Linked DNA regions of Alligator mississippiensis. The protein of the gene in region 1 purifies or fractionates together with the protein of each later gene. This does not show direct contact. Links are inferred from orthologs where the notes say so. Each region holds a gene or a part of one and is shown in the gene's direction. Other genes may lie near its edges.

What was found.
Region 2: the proteins of TICAM1 (region 1) and RIPK1 purify together in Homo sapiens (affinity purification with western blotting; 4 studies listed by BioGRID). This does not show direct contact. The link is inferred for Alligator mississippiensis from reciprocal best matches to the Homo sapiens genes TICAM1 and RIPK1.
Region 3: the proteins of TICAM1 (region 1) and TLR4 purify together in Homo sapiens (affinity purification with western blotting; 3 studies listed by BioGRID). This does not show direct contact. The link is inferred for Alligator mississippiensis from reciprocal best matches to the Homo sapiens genes TICAM1 and TLR4.

What each region holds. Positions count from the first base shown.
Region 1 is NC_081839.1:4,935,116-4,938,860, forward strand, and holds the start of TICAM1 (TIR domain-containing adapter molecule 1), read left to right. Parts: upstream 1-1,057; 5' UTR 1,058-1,188; intron 1,189-1,240; exon of another isoform or gene 1,241-1,710; intron 1,711-3,031; 5' UTR 3,032-3,263; coding exon 3,264-3,745.
Region 2 is NC_081826.1:121,052,806-121,056,550, forward strand, and holds the start of RIPK1 (receptor-interacting serine/threonine-protein kinase 1), read left to right. Parts: upstream 1-1,121; 5' UTR 1,122-1,276; intron 1,277-1,489; exon of another isoform or gene 1,490-1,755; intron 1,756-2,128; exon of another isoform or gene 2,129-2,188; intron 2,189-3,745. UniProt on the Homo sapiens protein: Serine-threonine kinase which is a key regulator of TNF-mediated apoptosis, necroptosis and inflammatory pathways.
Region 3 is NC_081835.1:55,042,753-55,046,497, forward strand, and holds the start of TLR4 (toll-like receptor 4), read left to right. Parts: upstream 1-963; 5' UTR 964-1,060; intron 1,061-3,745.

The sequences.
Region 1 (3,745 bases):
TCCGGGAATGGTTTTGGTTGCCTTCTGCCCCTCAGATTTCTGTTTCCACAATAACCAGCCCCTTCTCTTGCATTGAAATTGGAAGCTGCGCTTTTTAAAGGATCAGTTTTCTGTGGGATTTGTACTCCCCATCGCTTCAGTGCATTTAAATTCTATTCGCAAAAACTTACTCTGCCCCTATTTAGTTCATCCCAAGTGCTCAGCAGTCACTGAAAAGATGGCGCAGGGCAGCTTTTATGGGCGTTACTAAGATAGATCCGGCTTGACCATTGTTATGAGGCCAGGCCTGTTGCAAAGGGGAGGGTTGGGGGATGCGCGGGTACCTAGTGCCGAGTGCCTGCTGCGGCTGTAGCTTGTTTCAGGGATCCAGAGACAAGCCACGTGGCTGGGCTAGGACCGAGTGTCTGGAAAATGGGAACCGTTGGCTTTGAAATAAATCTTGTTTCCAAATCCAGACAGGTTTGTGGGGCCTGCATCTGCCTGCGCGCCAAGCTGGAGGGAGGGAGGCCCTGTGGGCTGGGAGAGCTGGAGCCGAACAAAGGCAGCCAGTTCTCCCCTTAGGCGGATGGAGGCTTTCAGCGCTGGCAGAGGGGCCGTGCCACTGCTTCTGCTCCACCGCCGCGCTTTGTCTCCGGCTGGTTCTTGCCCCTTTTCATCGTCTTTTAGGGGCTGGAAGGGGGCCTGACAGATCGTTGGCACTTGGGCAGGAAAGACCAGATGAAATGGGCATCAAGACTTTGCTTTTTTTTCCCGCCCCGGATCAGCCCGCGGCCCTTCCCAAGGAGCCCCAGCCCTGCGGGTCTCTGGGCATGGGCCAAGCCCACGACCCCCTGCTGAAGCCGAGGCCTCCAGTGCCCCCGCTGCAGCCCGGCCCTCCCCCGCAGGCCTGCGAGGCTCGTGCCAGGATCCGGCCCAGCCCGGCCGAGGGGCTGCCCCGCGCCGCCTGCTCTGCCAGGCCCAGAGCGCCCCCCAGCTGCGCCCCCGCGCAGGACTGGCCCCGCCCGCTTGGAACGTTGAGTTGCAACTCCAATGTATCCGCTGCCATTGTGGCGTCACGACACCCCGCCCCCCGCTGCGCTTCCAGGTCGGATTGGGGGGCGGGGCGGGGCAGGGCAGCCTCGCTGCCCGGGACACTGTCACGAGGCCAGGCCCGGCTCGGCTCGGCTCGGCTCGGCTGGCGGCGCCCAGGTAACCCTCTCCCTGCCCCGCAGCGGGGGGAGAGCCGGGGGGCAGCGGGAGCGGGGTGGGGCTGCCGGTGCCCAGGGAGCAGGGCCATGCCCGACGCGCCGGGCCCAGCAGCGAGGTCTGGGCTCCCGCTCCCCAGGGAAGGCTCCGCGGGGCAGTGGGGCCAGGTCCCCCAGGGCTGGCATCCCCCGGGCTTTTGAAGAAGCTGAGCTGCCTTCCAGCAGGCAAGGGCATGGGAATGAGGGCCCCCAGGAGATGCAGCCTTTCCCCTGCCTTGTGCCCGGGCACCTTTCCCGGCTCCCCCACCCCCCGCTTTGCCAGGAACTGTCTGCAAAGGCAAAGGAAGCGATGGAGCAGGAAGAAGAACCTCATTAAAGTGACCCTGGACTTGGGAGGTTCCCAGCCGAGGCCTGCTCTGCATTTCTCTGTCTGTTCTCGCCTAAAACGGGGCGTTTAAGAAAAGACTAACTCCTTTCGTAGCCCAGAAGTGTCTGACGTTCGTGCAGCGGTTAGTTCTGGGACAAGGTGCGTGAGCAGAGCAAAAAGAAACTCGGCCGGTTGGTGCGACGCGTCTGAGTCACGAAGGGAAAGGAGTAAACACCAGTGGCAAAGCTCTGGGTTTTGCTGCCCCTGTTTGAAAGGCGAAGGGGATTTTTTTTCTTAGAAGTTTCAGTGAATCACAATCTTTCAGGGGAAGGGATGCAACTTTAGATGCGTTCAATCTGTCATGAAGCAACTGGAGGATTTTTGCAAGCTAGGAAAAAAAAAACCCCGAGCGACTTAAAAACAGGGTGAAACTGTAAATTTCCCCCAGGGATCTGGCTTGTTGGGGCTGTTTTGAAACACTGTGTTTTGGGATGCTCTTATAAATGCTGAGAGATTTTGCAGCAAGCCAGGTAGACCAAGAGCAGGCGTTGGTAAGCAGCGGTTCTGCTGAGTGCCTGACCCACAGACCTTCCACTCCTTGGCCAGGTCTGTCCAGGCTACTAGTGAGGTCTGGTCCTAAATTTAACTTGCTGCCAGAAGGCGAGGGTGAGTCCAAGAGTGTAATAGGATCCAGGGTTTAGCTGTGTGACCATGGATAACAGGAGGGTCTGCAACGGCGTTTGAGTGGATACAAGTCTGTTTGCCAGGGGAATAAGTGCACATCCTTTGGTGGATATAACCTTGGAGCCACCGAGAAGTTTCTCTACTGGGCAGTTGATTTTATAGCTGCTGGTTAACGAGGATTCCCCAAGGCATCTGGTGTTAGCTGCAGCCACAGACAGGACTCCGGGTGAGATGGTGGATTGTTGCTCTGATCAGTTGGGTGACATACCTAAATCTGTTAATGATTTCAAGTCAAGTTAGTCCCGAGGCCTGTGTGCCCATTGGGGCACCTTAGACGCGGTAACAACCCTCCTAGGTTAGTTGAATTGCTTTGCATCGCTGGTGATTCTTGGGGCAGAGTGACCTGGTGGTGTCCATCTCCTGTCCAGCTCTGGATGACTCTGGGCTTGTCTGCCCTTTGACAGGTCTTGTTTTTAGTCCTGCTGAGTGTCCACACACCCTCCTACCCAGGCTAGCCCAGGTGGGGGGGTGCTGGTTTAGTCTCTGACAGCCCAACCAGTTAACGATTTAGCCATTATTATTTTAAAGCACTTACTGCAGGGATACATGGGAACCATGTAGAGCCTTCCTATGAGCTTACCACGAGGATCGCAAAGTGAATGGTAGACTATGGGGGTACGACCGAGGAGTGACGTTCTTGCTAAGGCACGGTGCAGACGGTGATCTCAGATGAGTCCAGGCTGGAGCACGAGGCTGTCTGCCCGTCACGTTTCTGTAACTTTCTGTTCTCTCACAGGTCTGGCAGGTGAGCTCTGAAGAGGGAAGGGACAACAGCATGACACCACAATGCTGAAACCCCTGGGGAGAGAGAGAAGCCGCTGAGGATGTGTAGCACCCAGAGCCTGCCAAGCACCGCACAGAATGTAGAAAAGAAACCGGCCTTTGCTTATTCCAGGCCCCAGAGAGAGTAGTATGCTTTTTCCATCCCCTGCTTCTTCGGCGCGTTGTCTGAATAAACAGCTGATGCAATGGCAGAGAGCGCAGAGACCCAGCCCACATTTGAGGACGTCTTCAGTCTTTTATCTAGGATCCCCGAAAATAGACTCATTAGCCTGAAACATAAGCTGAAGCACATGAGACCCAGCACAAGCAGCAGTAAGTTACTGCAAGCCATGGTCTTGCTGGCTTTGGGGCGGGAGGCAGAGGCTAGGATCTGCCTGGATGCTTTGGGAGAGGACACGGGAGCCTTGTATGTCTGCAGGACCAGACTGGGGTCTGCAGGGGTGCCAGCAGGCTGTGTGGACCCAGGGACGCCCCAGCTGGATGCAAGCGCGCTGTGGGTCCTGGCACAGATCTACTCTCTGCTGGTAGAGGAGAAGGTGTGCAGTCAGGAAGCCAAAATCCGCGCCTATAGAGCTGCCATTCAAGCTGCCAGGGCCAGTAAGGGGAGCCTGGGGGAGCGGCTGAGCAGCTTGCTGGCGGAAGCTCAGGAACAATGCGGCATGGACAT
Region 2 (3,745 bases), on another chromosome or scaffold:
GGGCCCCAGAAGACAGACTCCCCCAGCGAGACACACACACAGCTGGCAGGCTTTGTGGCCTCAGCAAGGGCCACCACCCCTGCAGTTTTCAGCCCACTGCACCTTAACACACAGTGGGTCATCTATGTCATGAGTTTTGCCTGTCAGCAGCTTGAAGTGTAGTTCCTCCCAAACCCCTGCACCTATCTTCTTGAAACTTGGCAGACTTTGTGGCCTCAGCAGGGGCCACCACCCCTGCAAGTTTCACCCAAATCAGAGGCAAAACAACAAAGTTATAGATATTTAATTGATCACACAGGCCTACCTGACAGCCCAGGGCACCCTTGAGAGGATCTCAAGGTTTCCCCCAGGGCACCACGGCTCCCTGCCTGAAAATCACGGCTCTAGATCCGAGTCAGCAATGTTATTGGACTGTCAAGAACACCAGCAAACTCAGTTTGTAAGATGTTGGTGTGCCAGAGGCAGATGGCGGGGGGGGGGTGTGCCGCAAGGGGCCCAATCCTCATTGTGGCAGTGCAGCCCTGGCCCCTTTCTTGCTGCCTGCCCCAAGATGTGCATGCCAAGCAAAATGCCTTGGTGGGCCACACTCTGGCACCTGTGCTAGGATTTGCCTACCCCGTTTTAGATGTCCAGTAACATGCTGTAGAGATAACTCCTCCCTGTGGGATTCAGAGAGGCCACTTCCCTGTTAGTCTGAAGGCAGGTATTACACTTGATCTCAGCCAACAGGCAGGAAAGGTCTGTTAACCTCCAAAACAGTGATGCTCAACCTTTTTAGACTCAAGGCGCCTCCAGGAAAATGCCTGCTTCTAGCTTTTACTTGTGGTTTTTATAACTACAGAAAAACAGTAAGACCAATTCTTCTGTTGCAAGCAACTCAGCCCAGAAGGGGGGGAATGCTTTTGATACTACAGATTCCTGCTTGAAAGCCTGGGTTTTATCTGCAAATGGTGGCTGCAAACCCAACAGTGCTCCCACTGCGCAGCACCTTTGGAAGGACCTCAAGGCCTCAGGGCTGCCACAACTTCCTGCCAGAGAATCACTGCTCACATGCTGAGTAACATGCTCCGGAGATAACTCCTCCCCGTGGGATTCAGAGAGGCCACTTCCCTGTTAGTCTGAAGGCAGGTATTGCACCAATTCACAGAAGTTTAGGGCTGGAAGGAGCCATCCTGCTGTGGGCAGGAAAGACAGCTGGGGTCAAATAACCATAGCAAGGTCTGCGTCCAAGTCTCCTTTTGAAGATCTCCAGGCTACACTTGATCTCAGCCAAAAGGTAGGACAGGGGCCAGCACCTTAGAGTCTGTTAATCTCCAAGGTGGTGGCTCTCAACCTGTCTTAGACTCAAGGTGCCCCTGGAAAAAATGCTAGCTCCTAGCTTTCACACGCGTGTGTGTTTTTTAACTACAGATAAACAAGTCTTCTGCAAGGCAGCCCAGAAGGGGTGAGATTGCTGTTGACACTACAGATTCCCGTTTGAAAGCCCTGGGTCTATCTGTGCACGGCGGCTGCAAAGCCAGCAGCGCGGCCTCTGCGCGACACCCCTGCAGGGGTGCCAGGGCCCCCCGGGGTGCCGCCCGGAGCCCTCCTCCTCCTCCCGCCTGCCGGCAGCCGGACTTCCCCGCGGGGCGAGCCCGGCCCTGTTCCTGGGCGGCTCCTCCCCGCGGCCCGACTGGCGGAGACTGGCGGCGGGGGCACCGCAGGCCTCGCCTCGGCTGGGCTTGGCTCTCCCGGCGCTGGAGCGGGGACACGAGGGTAAGACGCCCCCGGCCCGCGCGGCGCGGGAGAGCAGGCTGCCCCGTGTGCCCGCGCGGGTCCGCCTTGGCCTTGGCCTTGGCGGGGCGGACTTCCCGATCGCTGCAAGCAAAAGCGAAAGCGGCGCCTCCACGTCGCCCAGCGCCCTCCCCTCGGTCCCGGCTGCGAAGTGCGCCCCGCTGCCCCTGCCTGGCCGCGAGGACCTCCCCGCCCGGGCCTGGCGCCACCCCACGGGGCCCCGCCGCCTGAGGGGAGGGGGGGTGCCCTGCTGCTGCCGCCGCCGCCGCCGCTGCCCCCTGGGCAAAGGAGGGGGGGAGGGGGCTGGGGTTGGGGCACGGGGGTGAGGAGAGGCAGAGGGAACTGGGCTGATTGAGTCTGGAGCTGGGGACAGCCATCCAAGAAGCCCGAGCCTGAATGGATTCAGTCTTTGCAGGTTAGTCTAGCCTGCAGAGCTTGATCCGCCAAGCAAGTAGATAGACGTTCACTTTTGATCCCAGACATGCAGGCACAGGCCTGCAGTGGCTCAGGCTAGAAGCCTGGTGGGGTGGGGGGGCTAGAGCAAGCCCTCCCTTCCCTTTCATGGTGCCGAGATGAGGGGGTGGCCTGAGTATGTTTGGAGAGGGGTTTAAACCACCAGGCTGACCTGCAGGGACCCGAGCTGGGATGTACCTGGAGGCTGGAAGCAGCCTTTGCCAGGCTTTTGGGGGGCTGGGGAACATGGCCAGACCCTGGCCACTAACTAGATGCCAGCTGAGCATGGTGGCCCCCCGAGGCAAAGGCAGCAGGAAGGGAATTTATTACACCTGCCATTCCCCCTCCCTCCAGGGTCTGCCTGGTCAAGGGCAACCAGCAGACAGTTGCCAGGGCTGGCAGAGGGTCCCCCAGTGGGAGAGGGGAGGGAGGGGAGAAATAAACCCTCTCCCTGTCTCCTTCACTCCATGCTGGGCAGGCCTCTGGCCACAGCCCTGCCCCTGCTCCAGCTAGAGAGCAGTGACAGGGCACCCTGCTTTCTGGAGCAGACAACACAGCCCAGCCCAGGGCTGCAGAGCATGCTGGGGGACTCTGGTTTAGCTTAAACCAGGAAAGGGTCTGGGACAGAAGCTCCGTAAACCAATTTGACCTCAATCAGTTAAAGTCTGATACTACATTCAATCAGGTTTATCTTAGATCAGTTTCAGCCATTTTGAAACTGGTTTATGTGCACTGAACTTCTGTTCTGTTACAGGTTTAAACCAGTTTCTGATCATTTAAACTGGCTGATGTGCAACTTTTGTCCCTAGCCAAGAAGGGGGGGGGAGTTGGCAGCAGCTTTTCACTCCTTGAGGGGGGGCTCCCAAAAGGATGGAACTGGACTTGTCTCAGGGGTGGGGCAGATGACAGGATAAGGAGCAATGGTATCAAGTGGCAGCAAGAGAAATGGAGGTGAGATATTAGGAAAAGCTCTCTCACTGGAACAGGTTACCCAGAGGTGGTTTGGATGAAAAGCAACCAGTTAGATCATAGAAAATTAGGGTTGGAAGGGACCTCAGGAGACCATGTAGTCCATCCTTCAAGGGTTTAAGGCCTGGCTCAACAAAGCCTTGGCTCAGATGAGATAGTTGGTGATGGCCCTGCTTTGAGCAGGGGGTTGTACTCACTAGATCAGCATTTCTCAACCTGTAGGTTGCAACCCAAAAGTGGGTTGGAAGAATATATGGACGGGTCACAAGCAAACTTTAAAAAATGATTCTCCTTTAAAAGGAGAAAAATGTGGGAAACCATGGGTTTTCCCTTGCTTCTGCCAGCCTGAGAGGGACTGCTTGGGGCACCCTCTGCCCCACACACTGGGGGGCTGGGGCATGGAGCCAGGGGGCAGTGGATTGGGAGTGAGGGGTACTGAGTTGGGACTGGCCAGTGTTTACAAATGGGTCCTGGTACAAAAAAGATTGAGAACCACTGCAGTAGATAACCTCCTGAGATCCCTTCCAGCCCTAATTTTCTATGATTCTTT
Region 3 (3,745 bases), on another chromosome or scaffold:
GGGTCTCACAGCCAAAGGCTTGCTCCTTGTGAAGCCACACTAGGGTTGACTACAAGAGGGCTTTGAGGGAGAGGGGAGGGAGACCTAATAAAACTGCTTGGGGGAGTCCCAAGGAAGAACTTTCCTCTTCCCCTCTGAAAAGGGCAGGGTGAGCTTTTCCTTTTTTTTTTTTTTTTGGTAACACACATCTACCTACCAAGCAAGTGCTTTGGGGATGCTCTAGTGCAAGTTGCCTATGAAAATGCTCTGTTGGTTGGCAACTAAGTTTAGGAAAAGACCAAGTTGATCTATTAGTTTGCTGGTTCCTGATGTTTCTGGCTTTCAGCTAAAGCTCAGAGAGACCAGAAGGACCTAGCTGAAGGGCTGTAATGGCTTTCCCTATGGAGTAGTTGCCCTGGCATTCCCAATTAGAGAGAGAGAGAGAGAGAGAGAGAGAGAGAGAGAGAGATCTCCCTAAAAAGATGTCTGTGTATCCTTATTTAAGCCCATCATTGAACTAATAGATTCCATCACTGAACCAATCTCCTCACTTACACAATCTCTAAATCCTATAAAATCAAATAGGGATTAAACCAAATGATTACCAAGACCTGTGCAATTCAGGAAGCAAAGAGAGGTCTGTTCTGTAGGCTGGCTAGAAACCTACTGCAGGCATAAAGACATGTATTAAATTCTGCAGGATGGTCCCAAAAGAAAAGTACTTTGTGGTCTCTGTAGGCCTTTTCCATAAGAGGTCATCAGGAACAACCACGGCCACCAGGAGACAATCTGTTTGTGAAGAGCAGTTGATGATTTCTGTGGCAACCTTTTCTTCAGCTCTCGTTCCACATCTCAGTATGGAGCCTTTTTAGCAGAAGGTCTGCGTGCATTAAAGGTTGTTGATTTGAGGTTTTCTTTTTCTCTCTCTCTCTTCTTTTATTCCCATTTATTTTAATATAGATTTTTTTTTTTTCCACCAGAAAAGATGCTGTGATGCCACCATCTGTCCCAGCACTGGAAGGTTCTGATGGTTATTACAGTCACTTTAATTTGCTTCCTGCTTGTCCTGCTGCGCTGAAGTGTGAGGAGCAATACTTAAAGCAGTTGATTTTTTTTTTTTTTTCTATTTATTTGGAAGGGGGGAGGCAAGAGGCTGGGGTTGGTGTGTGGAGGAGGGCAAGGTGGATTTCAGACAGAATGCATTTTAATTTACTACCCTATTTCTTTTTCAAGGTTACAGTAAAAAAAGTAACATCTGTCACACAATCACTTACTGCTAGAAGACCATAAAGAATCGGTTGCCATTTCTCAGGCAGAATAGTGGGAAGTGACACGATCTCAGGGATATGGGCACAAGGCAGGGTAGCATACTGGATTTCAATGCAACTTTGAAGCCTGCTCACACAAGAGTGAATCATTGTTATAGCTGTTTTGCCACTGGGGAAAGTGAGGCACAGAGATAGGGATTGAATCCTCCCAGGTCAGAGCTTCAAAAGGAGGTTTGAACTCAGATATTCTGATTTTCATGAGAGTAGCAACCATCCAGTAGTTAGGGCCTAGCCTAGGATTGAGAAATACATCAATCGGCTGCTACAACAAAGGAAGGAAGATATTGAGAAATAAAGGGAGAGGCAGTTCTGTGAATTTTATGGCTGACCTGGTCCAGTCCCATTCATCGAGGTTCCCTTCTGCTCAGCCGGTTCCTAGAGCCAGCCAGGTCTCTTCATTTGCTTCTGCTAATAGAAGAACATGTTCTGAAGGTGGGCCCAAGCTGCAGACTCCCACAGGAGTTAGGGATTTCAGGGTTAATTCTCACGTCTAGCACTTTGTGACATTCTTCAGCAGCGTTGTCCAGGGCAGTTCTAGCTAGGACATGATGGGAGAGCACACTTGAAGCTCACAGTCAATTGGGAGGCACTACTGTGCCAAATATAAGCAATCAGGAGTAGAGGCACCCATGTTGGAAAGGCCAGGTGTGCTGATTTCCTAAAGTGAAAAGCGCCCACAGCTCTTCCTGGCTCCAGCTGGAGCCATACATTTTTGGTATCTTAGCAAAGCAGGGTATGAGTGGTTGGGTACTGAAAAAGGTGGCAGCTGCCCTTGGAACTAAAGGAGGTCGAGAATGTATGTTGAATTTCAGCACTAAGGGCATCCTGTATGAGTTATTTAATCCCAAGCCAGACAAGTCTAGTGGCCATCACCCTCAGGGACCCAGTCAATCCAGACTATCAGCCATGACCATAAAGATAGGCAGTTTTTCAAACATGACCCATGCAAAAAACCTTTCTAGCCAATGCAGAACCTTGGAAGGAAATGGGAATCCAAGGCCTTCCAGTGGGTGACTGCTCCAGATGTATTATTAAGTAGTCTGGCAGCTGCTTTCTGCACTAGCTGGTCTGCAGGGCCCCTGCAGTAGCAGTCTGAAGGTGGTTAAGGCTTATGTGAGTGTAGTGGGACACCCAGGTTTGAGAGAGGAGGCTCTTGCCAGCCCTTGAAGGTTAAGCTCTGATGGTTCACCTTCACATCACCCACCCTGGGCAGCCCAGTACATGCCAGAGTGCTGCTAAGCTGGTTCCTCCCCATCTAGCAAAACAAACCACAGATGTGCAGCTTCAGCCCCCATCACAGCGATGACTGTACTTGTGCTGGGCACTGCAGAAACAGGTGCAGCAAACAGTGCTCAAATGCAACTGAGACCTGTAGGCACTAATGCAAGACAAATTCTCATTGTGGAGTTCCCTGTTGGGATGCAGGGTTGGCTATTTGACTGGTCAAATAAAGTTCAGTGAATTGATTGGTCAAGTGTCAGTCAAAAACTGATATTGGTAAAAAAATTGCCAATAGGTCCAAATAATACACAGAAGAGGCACAAATTTTCCGTCAAGAAAAGTGTACAAAAACCCCAATTAAAAATCATATTTCTGTCAAGAAAACTACAAAAATGTAGGGTTTTTTTGTACAATTGCTATAATTTTTGGTAAAACAATATGTGGTCAATTGATTGGCTTGCCAACCTTAGTGGGAAGTATAAGCATCCTTAGTTGGCTATGGCAGGAGCAGTTTGTAAGAGACTTCCAATTCAAGGGACCAGAATACTTATCCTTCAAGTGAAGTCAAACAGCAGCATTTCATTTTACTTCGGGGTAGATTTCCTGATCCAGCCCTCAGCCAGGTCCATTGACATAAGATTAGATTTGGACCCCAACAACTCCATTGTGATTTCCCTTAGTAAGGGAAACCCCTATATTACATTTGGTCTGATTTGCTACTTTCTACTTAGGACCAGATTCCTAAGACATTGGCTGGGTTAGCACAAAGAAATAGAGACTGCTTGTATAAAGAGCTTGTCTCTGATTTAACACTTAATCAAGGAACGGATTTTCCTTAGTGTTCAGTACCCAGCAGTCCCCGTGATGATGCTTGCAGCTAGATTTCCACAAGTGCTTGACAACACCCAAGGCTCTGGGCACATTGAAGGACAAAAGCAGCTTCTTTGGGAGTCTAAATGGGAACATTAGAGCTTTTTTGCAAAATCTAGCCCTTAATTTATAGGCACAGAATAAAAAATAGACAATTTATTTTAAAGAAACAAGGTTTTTTATTCCCACCCCCCGGATTGTGGTGGTTTCTGGGGTGGAGGCCAGTCATGGCTTCTGTGTGCATCTGAAGATAATTTCATAGATTTCATAGACATTAGGGCTGGAAGGGACCTCAGAAGATCATCGAGTCCAGCCCCCCGCCCAAAGGGCAGGACGTCAGCTGGGGT